3 linked regions of the Pelodiscus sinensis genome follow. The protein of the gene in region 3 purifies or fractionates together with the protein of the main gene of each other region. This does not show direct contact. Links are inferred from orthologs where the notes say so. Each region holds a gene or a part of one and is shown on either strand. Other genes may lie near its edges.

Region 1 (7,080 bases), on a different chromosome or scaffold from region 3:
CTAAACAAGATGAACTATTTAATATTTCATTAGGGCAATTTATATGATCCCAAATTATAAAATAATACTTTACTAAAGATAACTAATAACTTCGCCACTATATCATTTCAGACTCTTATCTTTTTGGATCACATAAGTTACCCTACACTAACAGCAGTTAGCGAATGTTCTTATTTGTTTTCACCTTTTTTTCTTATCAACCACAAATTGTTACCAATACATTTACTGGTTTTATTTGAGTGAAAGTTGGTATGTTGCTTCTGTTCTGGCCAGCCCCAGCATACTTAAAAACTAAACATTGGTCTAAAAATGAGCTTGCCCCCAATGAAAAAGATGGGTAAAACAAGTTTTGCTAAGAACTGTCACTTGGCTTTAGTCGCTAGAATTACAGGTGTTGTCCTTCTACAGCTCATATCCTTCCCAGAGTTTATCAACTTTATTAATTGTCCTATGTGTTTAATTTATATTGCAAACTGCTTAGATCTGGAATATCATCTTTCTAGGCCTTCTGCAAAACACTTTGCATCCTTTCTAAGCTTCTAATTCTTCATTTCTAGAACTGGTACAAAATATGTTGATGTATTTCATTTTGACATCTAAAAATGCAATCAATGGTTGCTTTTGTTTATTAACACAAAGATTTGTTAGTATTTCAGAACAAAAATTCTAGCAAAATTGTTCAGTTTCTACTTCTAGGAAAGCCAGTCTTTACGTGTGCAAAAAATCTTTTGGAATGGTTCATACGGATACAATTTTTTACTTTTAAAAGATTTAATATGTAGGTTTAGAAGATTTATAAAAATGTTTCAGCAAAAACTGACAGCTGTTATGCACACACAGAGTCACACTTCACTGGCAATTTACAGCCTCTTGTTTAAATCAGGCTGTCTGGGAATTATTCTTAAACAGGGTTTACACACTGTCCCTTCTAACCTAGTAACACTACTGGATAAGCCAAAATGAATGAACCAAAATGAATGTATACTCTTTTCTGTTTTTTAAGATTGTGGATTCAAAGACTGGATTACAATACTTTTGTGTAACATTTTAAGATACTTGGCCTTTTGTTAGAAAGTGGTTTAGCTGACCTGTGTGAATCCTACAATAGCCAAAGGCTAAGCTACACCACCCTTTCTCTGCACAAATCTTTACACAATCAACTATGAATTATCTTTCAAAATTAACTCTGTATTACCTGTCATAAGGTATTTTTCAAAATTAATCATATTGAACAGCTTCCTAACTCAGATAGAAGTAATAACCTCACACACACACACAAAAAAGGTAAGTCCTGACATACATCCTTTTTATGTCAAACCTCTACTACCATGGTGTCCAACATGCTAGCCACTAGCCAGATGTGGTTATTTGGCCAGTTGAGTGTGGCTAGTTGGCTTGAAAAATGTGCCAATTTGGCCAGTTGAGTGTGGCTAAGTCATGAGAGTGGCTACTGATTCAAAACTGGTTGGACACCATGGCTATACTATATAAAAAAATACTGTTTAGTGACCTACACTTAGTTACATATTTTAATAGATACTGAACGAATATATTTATATATTTTATTCTTCTACAAAAATGTATAGACACTGGCTAACAATCTATTTACTGACTATATCTTTCAAATTTTTTTGTGAATTCAGTTGTTAACACAGAATCCTAAACAGGGAAAGTTTAAAAATAGTTTGAACATACATTTCTTTATAAGCTCATCTATACTGCAGTTATTACTGTCAGGTGACTTACTATATAGCTGATTATTTGGTCATAATACAGTCTAGTTTTTAGTATAGATCAAAACATGTTTAAGCCACGGTTATGTCAAGCCTGTATCATGATGCAAGGGCACTGACAACAAGGCTTTCCCTCTTCCACTACCTAATGAAAAAGGTCAAGGGAAGAATGGTAATGTAGAAGGCCTCTACATTCTCCATCTACCTCACCCGTTCTTCTCATCCTGTTTCAGAGGGCTGTACAGCTATACCAAATGAAGGAAAATTAATGATGTGAATACTATGTCTCATTGAAATGCACCACAAAATAGTCTTTAACATTTAACTTTGAAGGTGTCTCTTAATAAAAAAGCAAATAAATTAAAGTTTTTAAGAACTCTTCCGATTAATCTACAATATTAAAAAGTTTTCAGCCCAAGTCATTGTTCAGTTGAGGAAATTGTGAATGTCAAATCAAACCTTCTGATCAGAGGCAATCCCAATACACAGTGGACAACATACTGCCAGAATGGCCACCTCTTAGGACTTAGGGTGATACTGACAAGATCATTCTCTGCCAAGGCCAGGAGCGCTAAATGGATTTGTGGGGAGGGCTGGGCGGAACTCTCTTGGCACACAAAGGGCCCATGACAGAAGAGTTGATGGGATGAACGATCCTCGCTCTGGGCTGGATCGGGGAAGAAGCGCGGGCGTTAAATCCTTCGGATGGAGGAATTTCGGGACTGAGGCCCTTGCAACTACGCTCAACACTGGGGCGCCTGACGCTTCGGCACAGGGGAAAGCGGGCGAACCCGACAGCCGCGGGGGCGGAGGTACGGGCGATCAAACGGGGCCAACGGTCGGGGGAGCTTGGCCCAAAGCCTGGAACGGGGCGCTTGGCGCTAGAGCACCGGGAGCCCGGACAACTAGGCCGGGGGAGGGGGGACGTGAAGGAGTCAGGCCCAAGGGAGAGCGCCAGGGTGAAAGGGCACCGAGCCGGTGGGGGACGCTCGCTCGGCCCTTTAGGGAGCGGTGCGGGGAACTCAGCCCGGAACTCTGCCCTCCACCCAGCTCCCGGCCCCTCCACCCGACCGGGCCCCAAACTCCGGCCCCTACGGACCGGCCGGCGGGCCGCCCTAGCCTCCAGCGCCGGCCCGGTCCGCTCCTCCCCCCACGCCGCCCCGCACTCACAACTCGCTCTTGCCCGATTTCTCCCAGTTCTTTATCCACTCGGCAGGGAGCGCCCCCGCCGCCGCCATCTTCCCCGTGTGGCGCCGAGAGCCCGGATGAGGCGAGCGACGGGACGGGGTCAGAGGGGACGGGCCGGCCCTCCCGCCAGGCATGATGGGAAACGGGCCTAGAGCAGCCTGGGAGACGAACGTGCGCGCGCTCTCTTGCCGAACGGCTCCCGAGCCCGCGCTGCGCGCGCGGAACCGGCCACGGGCGGCTGCTGAGTTTCGGCAGCGGCGCCCGCCCGCGGCTACACAACGCCGGGCCCAGCGAGTCCCGCGCCAGCTGCCCCCAGACACTCCGGTACCTAGCTACCCCCCTCCCCCCACACTGGTAACACTTGAGCCCCCCCAATATAGGGGTGACTCCTGACCCCCCCGCCAGTCACACCATGGCCCCCGCCCCTTCTTCCAGTACATCCGCCACCTGCCCCCCCCATACAGCTGGGCCACAAGCAACCCACCCAAAATACTTCCAGCCCTTCCTGCAGTGCACCACCCGAGCCCTTGTCATTTATCTTATAAATATATCCCCGCCCCCCCCCCCCCCCCCGCCCCGGCAAGTTTCCCAAATACACTGGACGCCCAGCAATCCCCCTACAATTAACGAGACTGCTATCATCCACTCAATGAATGCACCAGGACCTTGCAACGTTTCCCAAATACGGTGGGCCTCTGCAGTCTTCCCTCAAAAACACCAGTAACCCCTGGACCTCACCAATCTACCCCAAATACATCTGGATCCCTACAATCCACCCAATGAATACTATCAACTTCCCCAAATAACACCAGACCATCAATCGCTGCCCCCCACCCCCTCCAAAAAAAACTCTAGCAGGCTGCCCATCACAATGGTAACATCTGTTCTCCACTAACTCCCCCTCCCCTATGTCTTGGGGACACTGGGTACCCAGCAACTTTACACCAAATGTGCCACAACACCAGGCCTCCACCTATCCCATATCAATAGCTCCGGGTTTGCAGGGACATTTCCCCATGTCTCTCCCTTATAGTCTCAGCCAAAATCCATGCATATGTCTGTGACTTCACATACTTGTTAAAATAAATGTATTCTGAGATATTTAGCAAAAGGGTATCAGTAAGACTTATCTAATTCTGTAGCTCTGTTATACGAATTTATAGTAGTAATATTAATTTGTAGGTTTCAGTGATAGAGTTGCAGTCAAGGACTACAAAACTTGTTTGTGTGTAAAAAGTCATTTAATCTGTTAATTGTCATACAGATAGGTTGATAGTTATATTCTAAATCTATTGAAAAGAAAGAATGGTCCCTTCATTTCAGAAATCTTAGGGCAGGTCTACAAAATTAAGTCACCTTAAGTTACTTGCTATGCTATCAGCCCCAAGTGGCAGAACTCTAGATGTCAGTTCCGGGCAGTGAGGCTCTGATAGGCAGCAAATGGTGATGTGATGTGATGTAAGCAATGCAGTGTCTACACTGATCCTGCATTGACATAAGAGCTATGCCTCTTGCAGAGGTGGAATTACTAAGGACATATCTTCATGTTAGGCTGGATCAATAGGCAGTGATCATGTAAGCAAAGGGTCAGTTTGTCATGTCTAGATAAATTGACCACCGAGCGCTCTCCCGTTGACTCTTGATACACCACCAAAACCAGAAGAGTTAAGCGGAGTCGACAGGAGAGCATCAGCTGTCAACTTACTGCTGTGAAGATACTGCAGTAACATAAGTCGATGGTCTGCAATAGTATAGACAAGGCCTAAGTTAGTGTAGCAGGCTACTTACATCAGTGAGAATAATTTGCCTTATGCCACTCTAACTGTAGTGTAGACTAAGCCTTAGTTTCACAGTTCAAACTTCAACATTTGAAGAATACAGGGTCTTTTTTTTCTTTTAAAGTATATTCAGAGTCTTTGGTCTCTGATGGGCTTGAGCCATTATCTCAGAGGAAATTCCTAAACTATTACCAGTGGAGTACTTGCTGGAGGCTCTCTTTAGCTACATCTAAACTACAAGCCTCTTTCAAAAGAGGCTTTTTCGAAAGAATCTTTCAAAAAAGCCTCTTTCAAAAGACAGCGTCTAGACAACAAGCAGATTTTTTGAAAAAGGGAGCCGCTTTTTTGAAAGAGTCTAGATGCTCTCTTTCGAAAAAGAACAGTTTGCATTCAATAGCGCCTTTTTTAGAAACGGTACTTTCGAAAAAAGGCATTATTTCTCATAAAATGAGGTTTACCACGATTGAAAAAACTGCTGGTTTTTTTCGATTTACTTTCAAAAGAACGCGGCTGCAGTCTAGATGCAGGTGAATTTTTTTTTGAAAAAAGGCTACTTTTTTTGTGTCCCTCTGAGGAACAGAATAGATTTAAGGGAGCAATGAATGAAGAGAAAAATAGGTGGTATTTTTACCTTTTTTTCAAAAAGGCCAAAACATTTATATAAAATAATTAAAAATATATCATCATTGTGCTAATATTGGCCTTCCATGTAAACAAGGTGCAGTGAGCCCCAATTTACCAGTTTTATCTTGAGCCACCATTCCTACAGACAATGCAGCACTTGTTAGCACTTAAAATAAAGCTAAGTAAGGTTTATTAAAGTAAAAATAAAGATGTAATAAGAAATAGTGGTTACATCACAAAACAAAATCATAGAAAACAAACCAGAGTCTATACTTATGGAATATAGATTGCACCTCTAAAATCCAGGATACTCTGGTCTAGCAACATCCATGTTCTGGCAGGATCACAGATATTGCTGGACCAGGGAGCCTGGTTGGCTAGAAGCAGCACGGCCAGCAGTGGGGAAGTTGAGCTCTGGCGGGGGATGGAAGCAGAATCCCCGGTGGCCAAGACGGGCTGACAGCCAAGAAAGGAGCCTTGACCTGCCCTGGTCTCGCAAACTCCAGGGTTTGGGACCCCTCAGGACCAGAGGGTGTCAGAACAGGCAGGTCCAACCTGTAGTAAAGTAAATTTCCCACCAAATTCAGCCATTGCAGAGCTGGATGCTTTTTCAATAAAGAGGACCCAAAATGTTCATAAAATCATAAAAATGTAGAGTTGGAAGGTACCTTAAGAACTCATCTAGTTCAGCCTGCCTCACTGAGTAGGACTATGCACTCCTAAACCGTCCTTGATAGATGTTTATCCAATCTGTTTTTTTAAAAATTCAGTGATGGCACTTCCACAGCATCTCTTACAAGCCTAATCCAGATCTTAACTAGAATCATAGAATACTAGAACTGGAAGGGACCTTGAGAGGTCATCGAGTCCAGTCCCCTGCCCTCACAGCAGGATCAAGCACTGCTTAGAAGATCATTCCTAATAGATGTCTACCTAACCTGCTCTTAAATATCTCTAGAAATGGAAATTCCACAACTTCCCTAGGCAATTTATTCCACTGTTTAACTACTCTGACAGGAAGTTTTTCCTAATGTCCAACCTAGATGTATGTCCCTTGCTGCAGTTTAAGCCCATTGCTTCTTGTTCTGTGATCAGAGGCCAGGAAAAACAATTTTTCTCCCTCCGTGTGACACCCTTTTAGATCCTTGAAAACCACTATCTTGTCCTCTCTCAATCTCCTCTTTTCTAAACTAAACAAGCTCAATTCCTTCAGCCTTGCCTCATAGCTCATGTTTTCTAGCCCTTTTATAATTTTTGTACCTCATCTCGGGACCTCCAATTTCTTCCCATCTTTCTTGAAATGTGGTGCCCAGAACTGGACACAGTACTCCAGCTGAGGCCTAATCAGTGCAGAGTTAGTCACCAGATAGGTGATAATACGTCTTGGAGATGATCCATTCAAATCGGAGGCAGTTGTCCTGCCGTGGATAGCCAGTGAAGTAAAATAATTAGTTGTCTAGCCTTGCTCCATCACCACTTTAAGTGAAAAACTATCAGAGACAAATGCAGTTAATCAAAAACAATTAGGTGTAAAAAAGATACATTATAACAAAGAGAAAAAGCCGGTTATGAATAAGGAAAAAAGACAATTTCAGTAAAATACAGGGTGGGGAAAGACACACGCTATACTTTTTCTGGAATCACATCCTCAGCAACCAGAGGTGCCTTCATGAAAAATTGGGTTTTGATTCCTGTTATGCCAGTCAGCTCTGCAACAGACTGAACCTTCTTTTTTGTGCTTTGTATTGTGCTGTAAT
Region 2 (7,464 bases), on a different chromosome or scaffold from region 3:
ATCCTTCAGCGACTGGAACTAGGCTCTCCTTGCGACTCGAGGAATCGGACCCTCCCTAAGCCCCCTTGAGTACTCACTTAAACTCCAGGCATTTGGTGATCTCCTTCTGCAGATGCATCACCTCGTAGAGTAGGTTCTGGAGCTGCAGGTGATAGGCGTCTACCTTCTGCTTTGCCTGAAAGAACGTCAGCGGGGAGCATGAAAACCTCAGTGCAGATGAAGCCAAAAAGAAGAGCAACCAGGGATGGGAAATCCCAGTTAAAAGTCCACCAGTTCAATGGAACGTTTAACCGGCTAATCATGATCCCATGCAATGCGCAGGGGCTGCTGTGACGGGCCGGTCGCCCCGGGAAGCATGCCGGCAACACCACACCCCTCAGAGCAGATGGCAAGAGATCAAGGCTGCCAGCCAGAGAAGGCAGATTTTCGGGAATGGTGAAACCCAGGAGATTCAGGGACACTGGCTGGCACCCCACCCCCAGCCTGTGCACAATGGCCTTGTGGGGCGACCAGGAGGTGCCAGGTGAGAATCGAATCAAACTGGTGCCGCGTTTTCATTCATTGTGGCTATTACAGTGTCGGCAGCCGAGTTTCCCAGGAAGCCTCTGCTCCATAGACCTGTGGCTGGAACCCTGTGTGGACTCGGGTAGGCCCCTCCCAGCCAGGGGGCGGTCCTTTCAATCGCTGGCCTCACGGTACCTCATGGGTCTGATCTCGCCCCTTCTTCAGCCGAATATGAGCCAGACGGTTGAGTTTCTTCAGGGTCATGAAGTACATGCAGCTCTGGATCCGCCGCTCTTCGATGGCAGCTGCCTGAGAGGGGAGGAGGCAGCAGGTAAAGGAGCTGGGTCGCTGGCCACACAGACATGTATTCCCCCCCCCCCCCCACACACACACCCACTCTTCCTTAGCCCGGGAATCACCAAATCCCTCCTGGGCTCATTCTGGCTCCGGGGCCAGGTTCATGACATCCTTCTCTCGGGTTTAACCCTTTCAGCGACCAGAGCAGCCTGGCTATTATCAGGTGGCTCAACCCTGCGCTGGAGGCACAGAGTTTAGTCAATGGTGCACCCTCGTTTCCATCCTCTTAGGAGCAGTGATAGCTGCTAGCCCAATAGCCCGCGCTGAAGCTCTCCTTCCTGCTACAGAAAAGGCCCAGCGTGGGCAGCGGTGCCGCCAGCTTTCTGCAACAGAAAGCCTCCTGGGATGAGGCATACCTGGGAGGTCGACAAATGCCTTTGATGTCAACCCCCGCGCGTCCAGACTACCGCGCTGAGCCGACAAACAGCTGATCGACTCAGCACGGCAGCCATGTAAATTTAAATGAAGCGGCGATTATTTAAATTGCTGCTTCATTTTCCTATGCCTGGTAGTCTAATCTACATGCCTCTGTCGCCAGAGGCATGTAGTCTAGACGTACCCTAAGTCTCAGCGCTGATCTGACACGGCTGCCCCACGGCGGCAAGAGGGGAGTTCAAGCTCCATGCTCTTCGCTCATTACAGTCCACTTGCTATGGGAACACCTGCCGAACTAGACCCTGACTCGCTTCTCGCAGGCCCCCAAGCAAGCGCCAGGCAGGGGTAACCAATAACCTAGGCTGGATTCGCTCTCTGGGAGAAGGTCTCCTGTCCCCGCACCGCTCTCCTGAGCTATTCAGTCCTTACGTTTCATTGCTATTGCTGGGACCATTACAAACCCCTTCCCCGTTTGAGGACGCCATGTGGCTTTCAAACCCACTGCTTTCGCGCAGCAGCAGAAAGTGTTTGAAAGGGCTCGGGAGAAAAGCTCCTTCTTACGCTGTCTTTGCTGCCTTTGCTCTTCAGATCCTGGATTTCTGCCATGAGCCTCTGAAGCTCCTGGCAGGTTTGCTTGTACAGTTCATAGTCTTTGCTGGGATCTCGGAGTTCCACCTCCGCCTCCTCACTGTAATACTTCACATCCTGCAAAGAGCAGAAATACAGAGCGGCACTTAACACTGCAACAAACCCCCTGCTCGCCTCACTCCACCAGGGGCCTGCTTGTCTAGTGGGTTCACAGTAGCACTACAGTGTCCCCAGAGACCAGCATCAGGTCCCATCCCATATTGGTACTAGGCTGACAAGCAGGAGAGGAAAAAGAGCAGCGAGCAAAGTTCTTTCAATGAGCAGACAAGATGAAAGACAGGCTCCACCTACGCCCATTGCCCCTCAAGCTTTTCAGGGCTTCTAAAAACACCCCGAGAGCTTTGGGGGGCCAGTGCAAACTTGCAACAGTGATAAAATCACTCAGAGAGCATAAGATGCAACTCTGGTTCCCAGGGTCATAACCCTTCTTTGCTCGGGATGCTGGGGATCGGGCCTGGCATCTGGCTCACTGAAGCCAATGGTAATAACCTCATTGACTTGAGTACGAGCAGCGGAAAGCTAATCCCGGGTGCTTTTGAGATGCTCGCCCTTACAACAGAGCGGACGAACAGGGTGATGCTTTTGTGATGTCAAGAGCTTTCCGAACAAAGCACTGACGGCTTCGCCTCTGCACTCCTGCCAGCCCGACAGCATCTGATCCGCCGCAGGATTGCCACAGGCTGACAATCATTAGCCCACCTGATCAGGGTCCACCCTGCCCCGCTTGCTCTCCTGGGGGGCCCCGTCAGTGCGGATGACCTTGGGTTTCCTCTTCTTGCTCGAATCAGACGACATTCTTATTTCACGGGCTCTGGGACGGGAGAGCAGAAATAGCTGGTCTCCAAACGGGAGCCCCTCGAAGCCTCTGCAACAAATGGGAGCGACTGTCAGAGACCCCGTGCTGCCGTGGGAGGGGGCGACTCTGCCCTGCTTCCCCTCGGCACTGCGCCTCCTGCGCCGATCGATCGTCTCCCCTCCTCAAACCAACGTCACCCCCAGCGCAGAGGCTAGGAGGGGTCCCCTCCCGCGGTCCCCCCGCATCCCGGCCTCCCCGGCTCGGCCCCGAACCTCCCCCGCGCCCGGGAGAGGCCCCGGGACTCTGCCCTGCTCCCCACCAGGCCCGGCCCAGGGGCTCCCTGCCTCCCGGGGGCCTTGTCCCCGCAGCCTCCCCGGCCCCCCCCCCCGCCAACCCTCCTGCCCCGGCCCCCCCGCAGCCTCCCCTCCCCCCCCCGCCCCGGCCCCCCCCCGCAGCCTCCCCTCCCCCCCCCCGCCCCGGCCCCCCCCGCAGCCTCCCCGGCCCCCCCCACCAACCCTCCCTGCCCCGGCCCCCCCCCGCAACCTCCCCGGCCCCCCCCACCAACCCTCCCTGCCCCGGCCCCCCCCCCGCAACCTCCCCGGCCCCCCCCCGCCAACCGCCCTGCCCCGGCCCCCCCCGCAGCCTCCCCGGCCCCCCCCGCCAACCCCCCTGCCCCGGCCCCCCCCGCAGCCTCCCCGGCCCCCCCCCGCCAACCGCCCTCCCCCGGCCCCCCCCGCCCCGGCCCCCCCCGCAGCCTCCCCCGCCCCCCCCGCAACCTCCCCGGCCCCGGCCCCCCCCGCCAACCCCCGGCCCCCCCCGCAACCCGCCAAACGCCCCGGCAGCCCCAGGCCCCCCGCGCTCACCGGCCCGCCAGGCGCAGCGGAAATCCGGCGGCGGAGGAGACGAGCGCGGCCCGCGGGGCTAGAGCGTCCGGCGCCCAGCGCGCCCCCTGCCGGCCCGCCGCGGAGCTGCGAGGGGCGGGGCCGCAGGTCCCTCCACGCACCGGACACGCCCCCTACGCCTGGGGGCGGGGCCCGGGGCCGCTGTAGCCCTCCTCAGGGTGGTGTGGGCGGGGCCAGGCACTGCTGCACGTGGCGTTCCCAGCCGTGGCGGGAAGGGTGTCCCTTGTGGGGCTGACGCCACCCCCCTCAGGACAAGGAACCCCCCAGCTCCTGGAGGGAGCTACGGCGCTGGGACCCCCGACCCGGGCGCAGCGCTCAGCCCTGCCGGGGACTCGGCAAGGGCCCCCAGCCGTGCGCCCTGCGCCTGCCTACTCCTGGTCTAGCACGTGGACGGGTCTAAAATCAAACACGGGCCTGTGCAAGCCCCCCCCCGCTGCACGCAACAAGGACACTCAGGGTGCGTCTGCACAGCGCCCTGACCGCGAAATAAGCTCCCCAAATTGTGTGGCTGATTTGGAGGTTATTTCGAAATAGCCTGTGGCCAGAACGAGCACCGCGGAGGCCAGTATCTCTAATCGAGGCACATGGCGCTGGCCGGCAGGTCTAACGGACCTGGGGTGCGTAAGCAGTAGGACACCGTGCACGGCCTTCGCGCCGACATCTCGGTAGCTGCCTAGTCCTGGGGCCCAGGCTTCCGAAAGAACGTGGACACGTTGCAGAGGTGTCAGGCGAGAGCGAGAAGGAGGATCCGAGGTCAGGAGAGCCACCTCCCAATGGGAGATTAGAGACGCGCAGTCTGTGCGGCTTAGCCGAGAGAAGGTGAAGAGGGCAAGGTCTAGAACACCCTACTTGGGAAAGAGATTACTAAGTCGGGCAGCTTTAGGGTCTAGCAGACAAAGGCTCCGAGCAATCCAACGGCTGGAAGCCAAGGCTGAACAAACGAAAAGAAGAAACAAGGCACAGATTTTGTTTACTGTGCGGGTAATTAACCATTGGCACATTCTGTAGCCATGGAGCTAAAATGGAGCTTTATGCAAAGTCCTGGGCCTCGGTGTACTTTGCCAGCCACCCTCTCGAATGCAGAAAGGACCTTGACCTTACCGTTGGTAAAGGTGCACCAGCCAGAGCACTGTGTCCAGAGCTGGTTCCACCGCAGGAATAGAACCTGATGGACACGGTTCTGTTTTAGGCTTACAACAAACACCCTTCTTCAAATTGCAATGTAACGTCCTTGTTTGAATGTGCACACTGCTTCTCTACCAGAAACGCTGCTTCTCTGAACAACAATCAACCCTCTTTTCTAAAACTGAACAATGTGCACGTTAACAATGCACAGAAAAGCCAAATGCTCTGGAAAAAGCCAAACACAAATGGAAAAGCGCCAAAAATTGCTCCAGATCCCCTTCAAAATACAAGCAGCGAGCAAATCAACAGCTTGGAAAAAAACAAGCCCCTATCAATTAAAACAAAATATTTATAATCAAAACCAGCTAAAACAAAAAACCTCCCAAACCAACTACAAAAAACCAACTACAAATAACAAACACCCGTCAAAAAGCCCCAACAATTGAACAATGCAAAACCCACTAATCCCAATTCAAAAAAACAATGATAACAAAACCGTTCTGCTTGAAAAGGAAATCCGTCCTGCCATAACTAAAGCACTGATCCAAACCGATACAACCCTGCTCCTCCCATAATCAATCCACAAGCCATAAAGTAGTACACAGAACATAAAATAATAAAAGAACGTGTACACGGGGTGTGTCTGTCTATAACCCTTGTATGAGCATCTGCTAACCGCCGTGCCACTGCGTTCTCAATCAATGCGGCGCTTGGCCTTTTCTTCCGATACAAACCCTTTGTGCTTCTTATAAGCTAACAGCTTTACCACCTCTGACACCAGGGGTGGGCAATAATTTTTGCAGGGGGGCCAATCAATGAATGTGGTTTGCGGGCTGGCTCCACCCTCTGGAAGGGGCGGGGCCTGGGGTGCAAGGGGCGGGGCTGGGGACTAGCCTTCCCCCAGAGTTGTCCGGGGCCAGAGGCTTTGAATTCAACACACAGCAAAGGGCTTGTGGCTCCCGGCCGTGCCGCTATCGCGTTGCCTGGCAGCCGCCTCAGGTTGCTGCGGCTATTTAAAGGGCTCGCGGCTCCGGCCCCTTCCAGGGTAGCGCCGCGACTGGGAGCAGTGAGCCAGATCCAGCCATCTGAGCCACCGCTGGGAAATTCGGTGGCCTGGGCAGCCGGATCTAAATGGAAGGCGGCCATATGCCATCTGTGGGCCGGATCAAAGTGTTAGGCGGGCCGGATCCGGCCTCTGGGCCGCGTCTTGCCCAGCCCTGGCCTAAGGCCTTCGCCTGCAGCCAGATTGAAAGAGCGGCCACCACTAGCTGAGAGGCAGGAAACCACACCCTCATATCCCTGGAAACTGCATCCCAGGAGTGTCCCAGAGGCGGGCCCTGCTCCAGTGCCGCCAGTAGCACCAGGTGCAGACCCAGCTCTCAAGGTGACATTTCATCTGGCAAGAAACTCCTTGACAGGAGAGTGGGGAGCAAGACACGGGAAGCCGTTCTCCCGCTCGGCTCTGCGCTGATCAGGCCCCGCTGGAGTGCTGGGCCCCACATTTCAGAGCGAGGTGGAGAACTTGGAGAGGGTCCAGAGAAGGAGCTCCGAGGGCAGCCTGAAAGAACTGGGCTGGTTTCGTTTGGAAGGAGCAGACTGAGCGGGGCATGAGAGCGCTTTTCAAGTATCTCAAAGGGTGTCACGAGGAGGGGGAAATGGTGCTTGGCCTCTGAGGACAGGACAGGGAGCAAGGGGCTGAAGCTGCAGCGAGGGAGGTTGAGGTTGGACTTTCGGGAAAACGGCCAAGCACTGGGATACGTTGCCGAGGGAGGCTGCAGATACTGAAGGGCAGGCTGTCAGGGATGGGCTACACTGCCGGGAAGGCAGCGGACGGGACTCGATGCCTCTCGAATTCCCTTCCCGTTCTAGTGCGCTATGGCCCTTTGACACGAACCACGGGGAATCCTGGGGCCGCACAGACAGCGTGGAAGGTGCCCCCGCCCTGCTCCTTGTGGTTGCAGATACAGACTCCCCCGGGCAGCCCTCGGACGTCTCGGAGGTTGTGAACTCCTCGGTCGGATTCTCTCGCTGGGGTTCCCGTGTCCGATCTCTGCCTGTGTCCCCCAGAGGGCTCGAGTCTGACCGGCCCTCAAGCAAAGCGCGTGTCTCCCTAGAAGTGCGGCCCAGCTGACTAGCAGACACCCACAGCGAGGGGGCTTCCTACTGGTGGTGCACATTCCGGCGTGCATCAGTGCACATCACATTTATTCCACACATGCATGGGAACAATCTGCCCATGGCTGGGATCGATCGGAGGGCCCATTACCACAGAGCCGCAGAGAGAGGCTACGTCTGAGCCCTGGGAATGGCAGAGAATTGGATGCGGTACCAAGGGCCCTGCGCACCTCCGGCATCTCTTCCCCAGCCCGGCGCCCCTCCCGCACCTGGACCCCTCATGTCTGGCTGCACCCAGAGCCTTTCGCTGCTCCCCAAGGCCTAGTTTCTGGGCCCCCCCATCAGAGCCTTCCCTCCCCCTCCGCCCAACCCTTTGCCCCAGCGAGTGAGGGTGGGGGAGTGGAGCAGGGTCACTGGACACAGGGGTGTGGCAGTGACCTTACAGAGGGCGGGGGGCGGGACCACTGGACACGGGTGCAGCAGTGACCTCACAGGGGACAGGGTGGGATCACTGGACACAGGGGGGCAGTGACCTCACAGAGGGCGGGGCGGGGCGGAGTCACTGGACACAGGGGGGCAGTGACCTCACAGAGGGCAGGGCGGGGTCACTGGACACAGGGGGGCAGTGACCTCACAGAGGGC
Region 3 (7,050 bases):
CTTTGCACTATGGAGTGATATCACTGCAATTCCAACAGAGTTTCCTTGTTTTTTTGGCAAATGCACTGAGCTTTTAGAAACGGTATTACAAATTCTTGGCAAGTATAAGAACTTTGTCTACAAATAAATCTTTCAATGTAAAATCACAGAAGTGTTTGGCTCAGCATTTTCATAAAGCTTATTTATTTTTGTAGATTTTATGACTTGCAAATTGGGGCTTCTCATAACTTACAAAAGACAGACATCACAGCGTAAGAAAAAATGTTACCAACCCACCACCAAAACAAGAATATTGTGTGTCAGGGATTATATGTCTACAATTATAGAAGAGTGTGTGAAGTCAGTAATAATCAGACTTCAGTGGTTTAGGAGCCAAATTAGCAAACAACATTGCCCAAAAGAGCCACAGTAGTGTGACATTGTTTCATTTTATATATGTTTCTCACAGCAAAATGATTAATCAAGTATTGATTTATCAACTACAATTGGTTAATAACAAAGTAAAAGCATTCTGGTGGGTTAATAATTAAATCACAGTGCTTTAATAACACTAGGGGGCTGCATCCACTGCTAGCTACACTAGCCAACCTCCCTCTTGCAGCGAGTAGGCAATCCTGGCTTTTTCCCCAGCTACTGGGGAGGGCTGGGGTGCAGCCATGCCGGGCTGGGCCCCTCCTCTGTTCCCCACTGCCATGCCAACCTCGGGCCCTTTCTCTCCCCCACCCTCGGTTGTGCCAGCTGCGCCAGGCCCAGACCTGCCCATGGCCCCTGGCAAAGGCTGGCCAGTGGCGCACCAGGCTAGACTTAGCCATACCCTCAGCCCCCAGGGAAGGCTGGGCCGTAGTGCCCTCTGCAAAGGCTGGGCTGCAGTGTGACAGCCCAGTCCCAGACCTGCTCTTGATCCCAGGTGAAGGCCAGGCCATGGCGTGCCAGGTCAGGCCCACACCAGTCCCTGGAGTCCAGGAAAGGCCAGGCTGCAGCACGCCAGGCCAACTCTCCATGTGGCCACTGGAGAGAGCTGGGCTGGCGGTGGGTGGAGCTTGACACCAGAGATGGGGCCCAGAGTGGAAGGGGTGGAGTGTGCCTACTCACCCTGTGGAAGCTGTGATGTGATGACATCAGTTTGTCATAAACTCACAGAATCATAGAGCTGGAAGAGACCTCAGGAGGTCATCAAGTCCAGCCCCCTGCCTAAGGCAGGACCAATCCCACAGGAATTTTATATATATATATATATATATATATATATATATATATATATAGAGAGAGAGAGAGAGAGAGAGAGAGAGAGAGAGAGAGAGAGAGAGAGAGAGAGAGAGAGAGAGAACTGCTGCAGAAGACACATTAAAAAGCTAATCACTGGTCTAAGTGAATCTAAAAATGACCATTTCTCCGAAATTCCTGAAGACTAACAGTGCTTCCCATCAGACAACAGTACTGAAGAAAACCCACAACACAATAATACCTTGGAGGTGACATCTATTCCTGTGATGAAACTTCCAGCTTTGTTTTCATACCTTCTACTAGTGTCCTGAAACAAAGCAGAATTGTGATGATGGCAAAATACAATAAATCAGTTAGACTGATAAAATCTCATCTGGCAAACAGTTCTAAAATAAAACCATTTCTTTCTACTTTCTCTGAACTCAGAGGCTTTGTCTGCACTTGTAAGTTTAAAGTGAAGCTGTGGCAATGGGGTTACAGCACCATCAATGGGAGAGCTCTCCTACCACTGTAAGTAAGCTATTCCCCTCATAGAGGTGGTTAACAGAATGTGGAGAGCATGGCTCCCTGCACTGGGAGTCTGTTTATAATGGCACTTTACAGCGCTGTTAATGGCTGCGCTTGGGGGTGTTTTTTCACATCCCTGCCTAAGAAAGTTAAAGTGCAGTAAAGTAACAGTATAGACAAGATCTAAGCTCCATTATCTTCTTGACCAAGATGTGTACAACACTGACTAAGCCTTTGTCTATAATACTGACCCCCTGAAATCAATCCACAAGCCATTGATTTAGTGTGTACAGTTTAGACCTGTCAAATAGACTGCAGTCTGCCATCGACTTCTCTACTCTAATGTGGACGAGAAAAGTAAGGAAAGTCAATGGAAGAGTTTCTTCATTGACCCCCAGCACTGCAGACTTGCTACACTTGTGAGAGAGGTGTGTTTTTTCACACCCCAGACAGAAAGTCTATACTGTGCCAATGCAGAATGAGCCTAACTTCCATGTCTTCCAATTGAAAAAAATCTTTTATCACCAAATTATTTTAAGATACCAGACTCTAAAAATGACAATGTACCAGGCTCTTATCAAGTCCCCTTTAGAACAAGAGACCATTCATCTGCACTTTTGTATTAAACAGAAAGTCACTTGTAAGCCTCTTCGCACCTTTGAGTCTAGTCCCATTTCCCCAAATAGCCCTGCCTTTGTTTCGTGAAATCGCCCGATTAATGTCACAAGAGCGACGTGCAGGGCGAAGGGGGGGGGGGGGGGAATAAAACAGGGTTTCCGCTGTCATCAGTTAGCGCTGGGGAGTTCACAAGCCCGCAGCAAAGCGGGTCCAGTCTCTGCCAGGCGATAACCCAGTGTCACCCCCCCGCCCCAGTGACCGTTTCCCTTAGCGCTGAGACTCAGCGTCCCCCCTGGAAGAAAACCCGGGGCTCCCCCCCCCCCGCTCAGCCTCAGACTGAGGGGTCGCTGTGGCTTCCCCTTTAGTACCTCGGTCCCGGGCTGCCTGCCCCGCCTCTCGCACCGACCCCCCCCCCCCGCCCGCTTCCCGCGCCCGGCCCCCTCCCCCATTGTCCCCGCACCGGGACGAGCTCCCGCAGCGAGCGCCGCACGGGGACGGTCTCCAGCTCGCCCTCCTCCACCTCCATGGGCTCGGGCTCGGGGCCGCGGGGCTGCTCCGCCTCCGCCTCCGCCTTCACCGAGATCCGCAGGCCCCGCACGGCCGCCATCGCTCCGCCAAGCCGGCCCACACGCCCTCAGGCCGCGACCAGAGAGAGGGGCCCGCCGGATGGACGGAGCGCCGCGCCTCCCAGCCGGCCTGCGTTACCACAGAGACGCGGGCTGGCGGACAGCGCGCCGCCGCCGCCACGACCATAGAGACGGCGGCAAGAGCGCTCTTCATGCCATAGAGACAGGGAGGGAGCGCGACCAGCTCGGTCCTCCAGTGGCATAGAGTACAGAGGAGAGGCTAGAGCGGCCAGTTGCCTGTGTGGAGTCTGGTTCTGCCTACAGTCGAAAATCCTACAGCCTTGAGCCTGAGCAGCCCTCCCGCCCCACAATTCCTCCGGGCAGGTCACCTGCAGCCCTGGGGGGAGGGGGAGCACAATACAGTGCAGCTCACAAGGGCATCACAACATTGTGTCATGGCAGCATTGTGCACATTTCACGAGAGATAGGGTTACCATATTCCAACTTTCCAAAAGGCGGCACTCTTGAGAGGGAGTGTATCTGTATCAGTATCTACCAACTCACGTTGTACACTGTATCGGTGTTTCTCAACCTTTTTTTTTTTATAAAGTACCCCTTTTCCAAAAACATAAATAAATAAATTTTAAGTACCCCCAGTACCTATAGTTTTCAGACACACACATTTTTTTCTACCATTTTGCAACACATTTGTTTAAACAACTTAATAGTAGCCAGGTGGGTGATGAAATTTTGGCGTGTAAAAAGTACAAAAATAATAAAACGCTGTAAAACTTAAAACAAAAATTCAGTTTTCTCCAATTTTAGTTGTGTTGATGTACCCTCCAGAGTTCTCTCAACCACTGGCTGAGAAACACTGTACTATATAACACATTAATATGTGAGTTGGTAGATACTGATCCAGATACACTCCGGCTACGTCTAGATTGCATCCCTTTTCCGTAAAAGGGATGCAAATTAGATGTATCGCAATTGCTAATGAAGCGGGGATTTAAATCTCACCTGCTTCATTAGCATAAAAATGGCTGCCCCTTTTCTTCGGCACGGAACTTTGCTGGAAAAAAGCACCAGTCTAGACGCAGATCTTTCGGAAAATAAAGCCTTTTCCGAAAGATCCTTTATCCCTTATTTTAAGAGGGATAAGGGATCTTTCGGAAAAGGCTTTATTTTCCGAAAGACCTGCGTCTAGACTGGCGCTTTTTTCCGGCAAAGCTCCGTGCCGAAAAAAAGCGGCAGCCATTTTTATGCTAATGAAGCAGGGGAGATTTAAATCCCCGCTTCATTAGTAATTGCGATATGTCGAATTTGCATCCCTTTTACGAAAAAGGGATGCAATCTAGACGTAGCCTCCCTCTCAGAAGTGTTCTCTTTTTTTGAAAGTTCAAGTATGGCAACCCTATGGAGAGCACCAGGTCATGTTGTGATATCACAGCACCAGGGGACCACAGAGGTGTAGGTTGGCAGAGCTGCAGTGCTCATGAGTGTCAATTTTTTAGCGCTATGGCTCTGTTGACCTAAACTTTAGCGTCGTCCTCAAAAGGCTAATAGTGGGTTTATTTGCGCAATCTGAAGCATTGGTATAAATCCATGTGTATATTCTTGGGGAAATAATAAATTCCCTGGGAAGACCCTGTGGGCCCTCTGAAAAAAACTAAAAAACCCCTAAAACGCTACAGTGTCCAGGGACTCAGTCACAGTATGGCAGTATGGTCATCTCCTCATGCAGATAATCTTAATTTAATATTACCACTAAGAGGGCTTCAGATCTTGGTATGCTTGCCAACCCCCAGCTGGATTGTGGTCTCTCTTCTTACCCATCCTGAAGTGGGGGGGGGGGGGGGGGGAGAGCTGCCACCAGCCCTTTCTGAGGCCAGTCGAGGCCTGTCCCAAGATGGAGGCCGGGGACAGAAAGCTGCAGCCAGATGGGGGCTGGGTCCCAATTGGAGCGTTATTGGCCAGGCTTCATTTTAAATTAAGTAAAATATTATGTCCAACACAAAAAAGTTTCAACATTGTCTTTATTTATGGAAGGGGTGGGGAGTCTTTTTTAGGGTAGGGGCCACTGACACACACAAAAATAAGTTGGGAACCACACAAGTGAGAAAGAAAAACCCCTCCAACCTACCTTCTCAGGTAGGAATAAGAGATCCTCCGGAAAAGGGCTTTATTCCGGAGGATCGCGCCAGTCTAGATGCTTTTTTTCCGGCTTTTCCCCAAGCCGGAAAAAAAGCATCGGACATGTTTATTTAAATCCGCGGGGGATATTTAAATCTCCCGCGGATTTCCCTATCCTGACTTACCTGATTTGCATCCCTTTTCCGGAATTTGGGGCCAGTGTAGACGTAGCCTAGTTGTTCCAGCTATTTTATTTGACTGGGTTAATACATGGTGATAGAGATGGTGCAGGTGTTGAACCTGTGTTCCATTAAGCAGGATTCAGTCCTAGTCTAACATCAGTGTATGGGACAGGGCAGCCAAGGCTCTGAGTGTCTGGCTGCTCCATTTGCCTCTCTGCATCAGTGAGGAGAGGAAGGAGGAGGATTCTTTGTGTGCTCCCCCTGCCCCAGCACAATCTTTCACTTCCCATTGGTCGGTTCTAATTGGTTACCCAAGCGCTCAGTACTATCTCTTGGCTCCCATTGGCTGGTTCTGGCCCATGGGAGCTGAAAGATTATGCTGGGGGCAGGGGCAGTGCATGAAGCTTCCCCCCTCCCTTTCTGGTGCATGGAAGCAGATGAAGCAGCCAGCTGCTCTGAACCCTGGGGCTGCAGCAGGCAGGGAACCTGCCTGAAGGTCCTTCTGGGATGCTGGCTGAGAGCTGCCTAGGTAAGTACCTCTCATCAAGAGCCTATCTCTGGCATCCCAGTCCTTTCTGCATCCCAACTCTCTGCCCCAGGTCACCACCACCTCCTGCTCCAGATCACAACCAAAACACTCTGCGTACACACACACACGTGCCCCCAGTCACAACTGTCAGACCCTGCACACCCCTTACACCCTTATCCCAGGCCAGAATCCTCTCTCACCTATATCCCCTCCTGAACTTTGCACCCAACCCCTTGCTCCAGATCACAACCCTTAGCTTCACCCTAACTGCCTCTCAGACCCCACACCCTCTCCTGCACCCCAATCCCAAGCTCCCTCTGCATCTAACCTCCATCCCAGACCCCACAACCCCTCCATAGACCCTTGACCATATACCAAAATCTTGGAGTGCCCCCCATCAAAAATTATTTCCCACCCAGGAGCTAGACCATCTGACAAGTGCTTGTCTAATATGGTCTTAACATTTTTCAATAATGGAGATTCCACAACCTCCTAGACAACTTATTCCAGAGCTCAACCAGCCTGACAATTAATAAATTTTTCCTAACATACAACCGAAACCTCCCTTGCTGCAATTTAAGCCCATTGCTTCTTGTCCTATCATCAGAGGTTAAGGAAAACAATTTTTCTCTCTCCTCCTTGTAACAACCTTATAGGGACTTGAAAGCTGTTGAAAAAGATCCAAATGTGTTCTGATCAGAGCACTCTTGAGTTGTAGCTACGGCATTTTCTACATGATGATTACAACTATGTTAGAGAGTGCAGCTGTTACATTGTTCTGCCCTTATCATGTTATGACATGGTTTGGTATTGCAATAAAGTTTCTTGCTATTAGTCATACTAAGGAAATCAAGACTAGGAGATGAAAACCAATATTTTGTTTTCCCTTCTCCCTGATCTCTCAGGTACTCGAAAAGCAACATTTCTTTCGTCTACAGTCACTTTGTATTGCTGCTGAGGTGTGTATGTTTGCAATGTTTGTAATTTATTGCTCAGTTGCACACAATATGCGAGTATATTTCTCAGGGTGTGTAGCACCTGCCAATTACTGTCCATAGAATCATAGAATCATAGAATAATAGGACTGGAAGGGACCTCGAGAGGTCATCGAGTCCAGCTCCCCGCCCTCAAGGCAGGATCAAGCTCCGTCTACACCATCCCTGACAGATGTCTATCTAACCTGTTCTTAAATATCTCCAGAGAGGGAGATTCCACCACCTCCCTTGGCAATTTATTCCAATATTTGACCACCCTGACAGTTAGGAATTTTTTCCTAATGTCCAATCTAAAC

What was found. The genes of interacting proteins can lie anywhere in the genome.
Region 1: the proteins of NCBP3 (region 3) and THOC2 purify together in Homo sapiens (co-immunoprecipitation; 3 studies listed by BioGRID and IntAct, with this or other methods). This does not show direct contact. The link is inferred for Pelodiscus sinensis from reciprocal best matches to the Homo sapiens genes NCBP3 and THOC2.
Region 2: the proteins of NCBP3 (region 3) and THOC5 purify together in Homo sapiens (co-immunoprecipitation; 3 studies listed by BioGRID and IntAct, with this or other methods). This does not show direct contact. The link is inferred for Pelodiscus sinensis from reciprocal best matches to the Homo sapiens genes NCBP3 and THOC5.

Annotation. Positions count from the first base shown.
Region 1 is NC_134723.1:32,406,136-32,413,215, reverse strand, and holds the start of THOC2 (THO complex subunit 2), read right to left. Parts: upstream 3,055-7,080; 5' UTR 2,972-3,054; coding exon 2,904-2,971; intron 1-2,903. UniProt on the Homo sapiens protein: Component of the THO subcomplex of the TREX complex which is thought to couple mRNA transcription, processing and nuclear export, and which specifically associates with spliced mRNA and not with unspliced pre-mRNA.
Region 2 is NC_134725.1:5,322,112-5,329,575, reverse strand, and holds the start of THOC5 (THO complex subunit 5), read right to left. Parts: upstream 3,055-7,464; 5' UTR 2,680-3,054; coding exon 2,584-2,679; intron 1,942-2,583; coding exon 1,798-1,941; intron 814-1,797; coding exon 700-813; intron 176-699; coding exon 78-175; intron 1-77. UniProt on the Homo sapiens protein: Component of the THO subcomplex of the TREX complex which is thought to couple mRNA transcription, processing and nuclear export, and which specifically associates with spliced mRNA and not with unspliced pre-mRNA.
Region 3 is NC_134731.1:14,838,675-14,845,724, reverse strand, and holds the start of NCBP3 (nuclear cap-binding protein subunit 3), read right to left. Parts: upstream 3,089-7,050; 5' UTR 2,957-3,088; coding exon 2,810-2,956; intron 1,532-2,809; coding exon 1,466-1,531; intron 1-1,465. UniProt on the Homo sapiens protein: Associates with NCBP1/CBP80 to form an alternative cap-binding complex (CBC) which plays a key role in mRNA export. NCBP3 serves as adapter protein linking the capped RNAs (m7GpppG-capped RNA) to NCBP1/CBP80.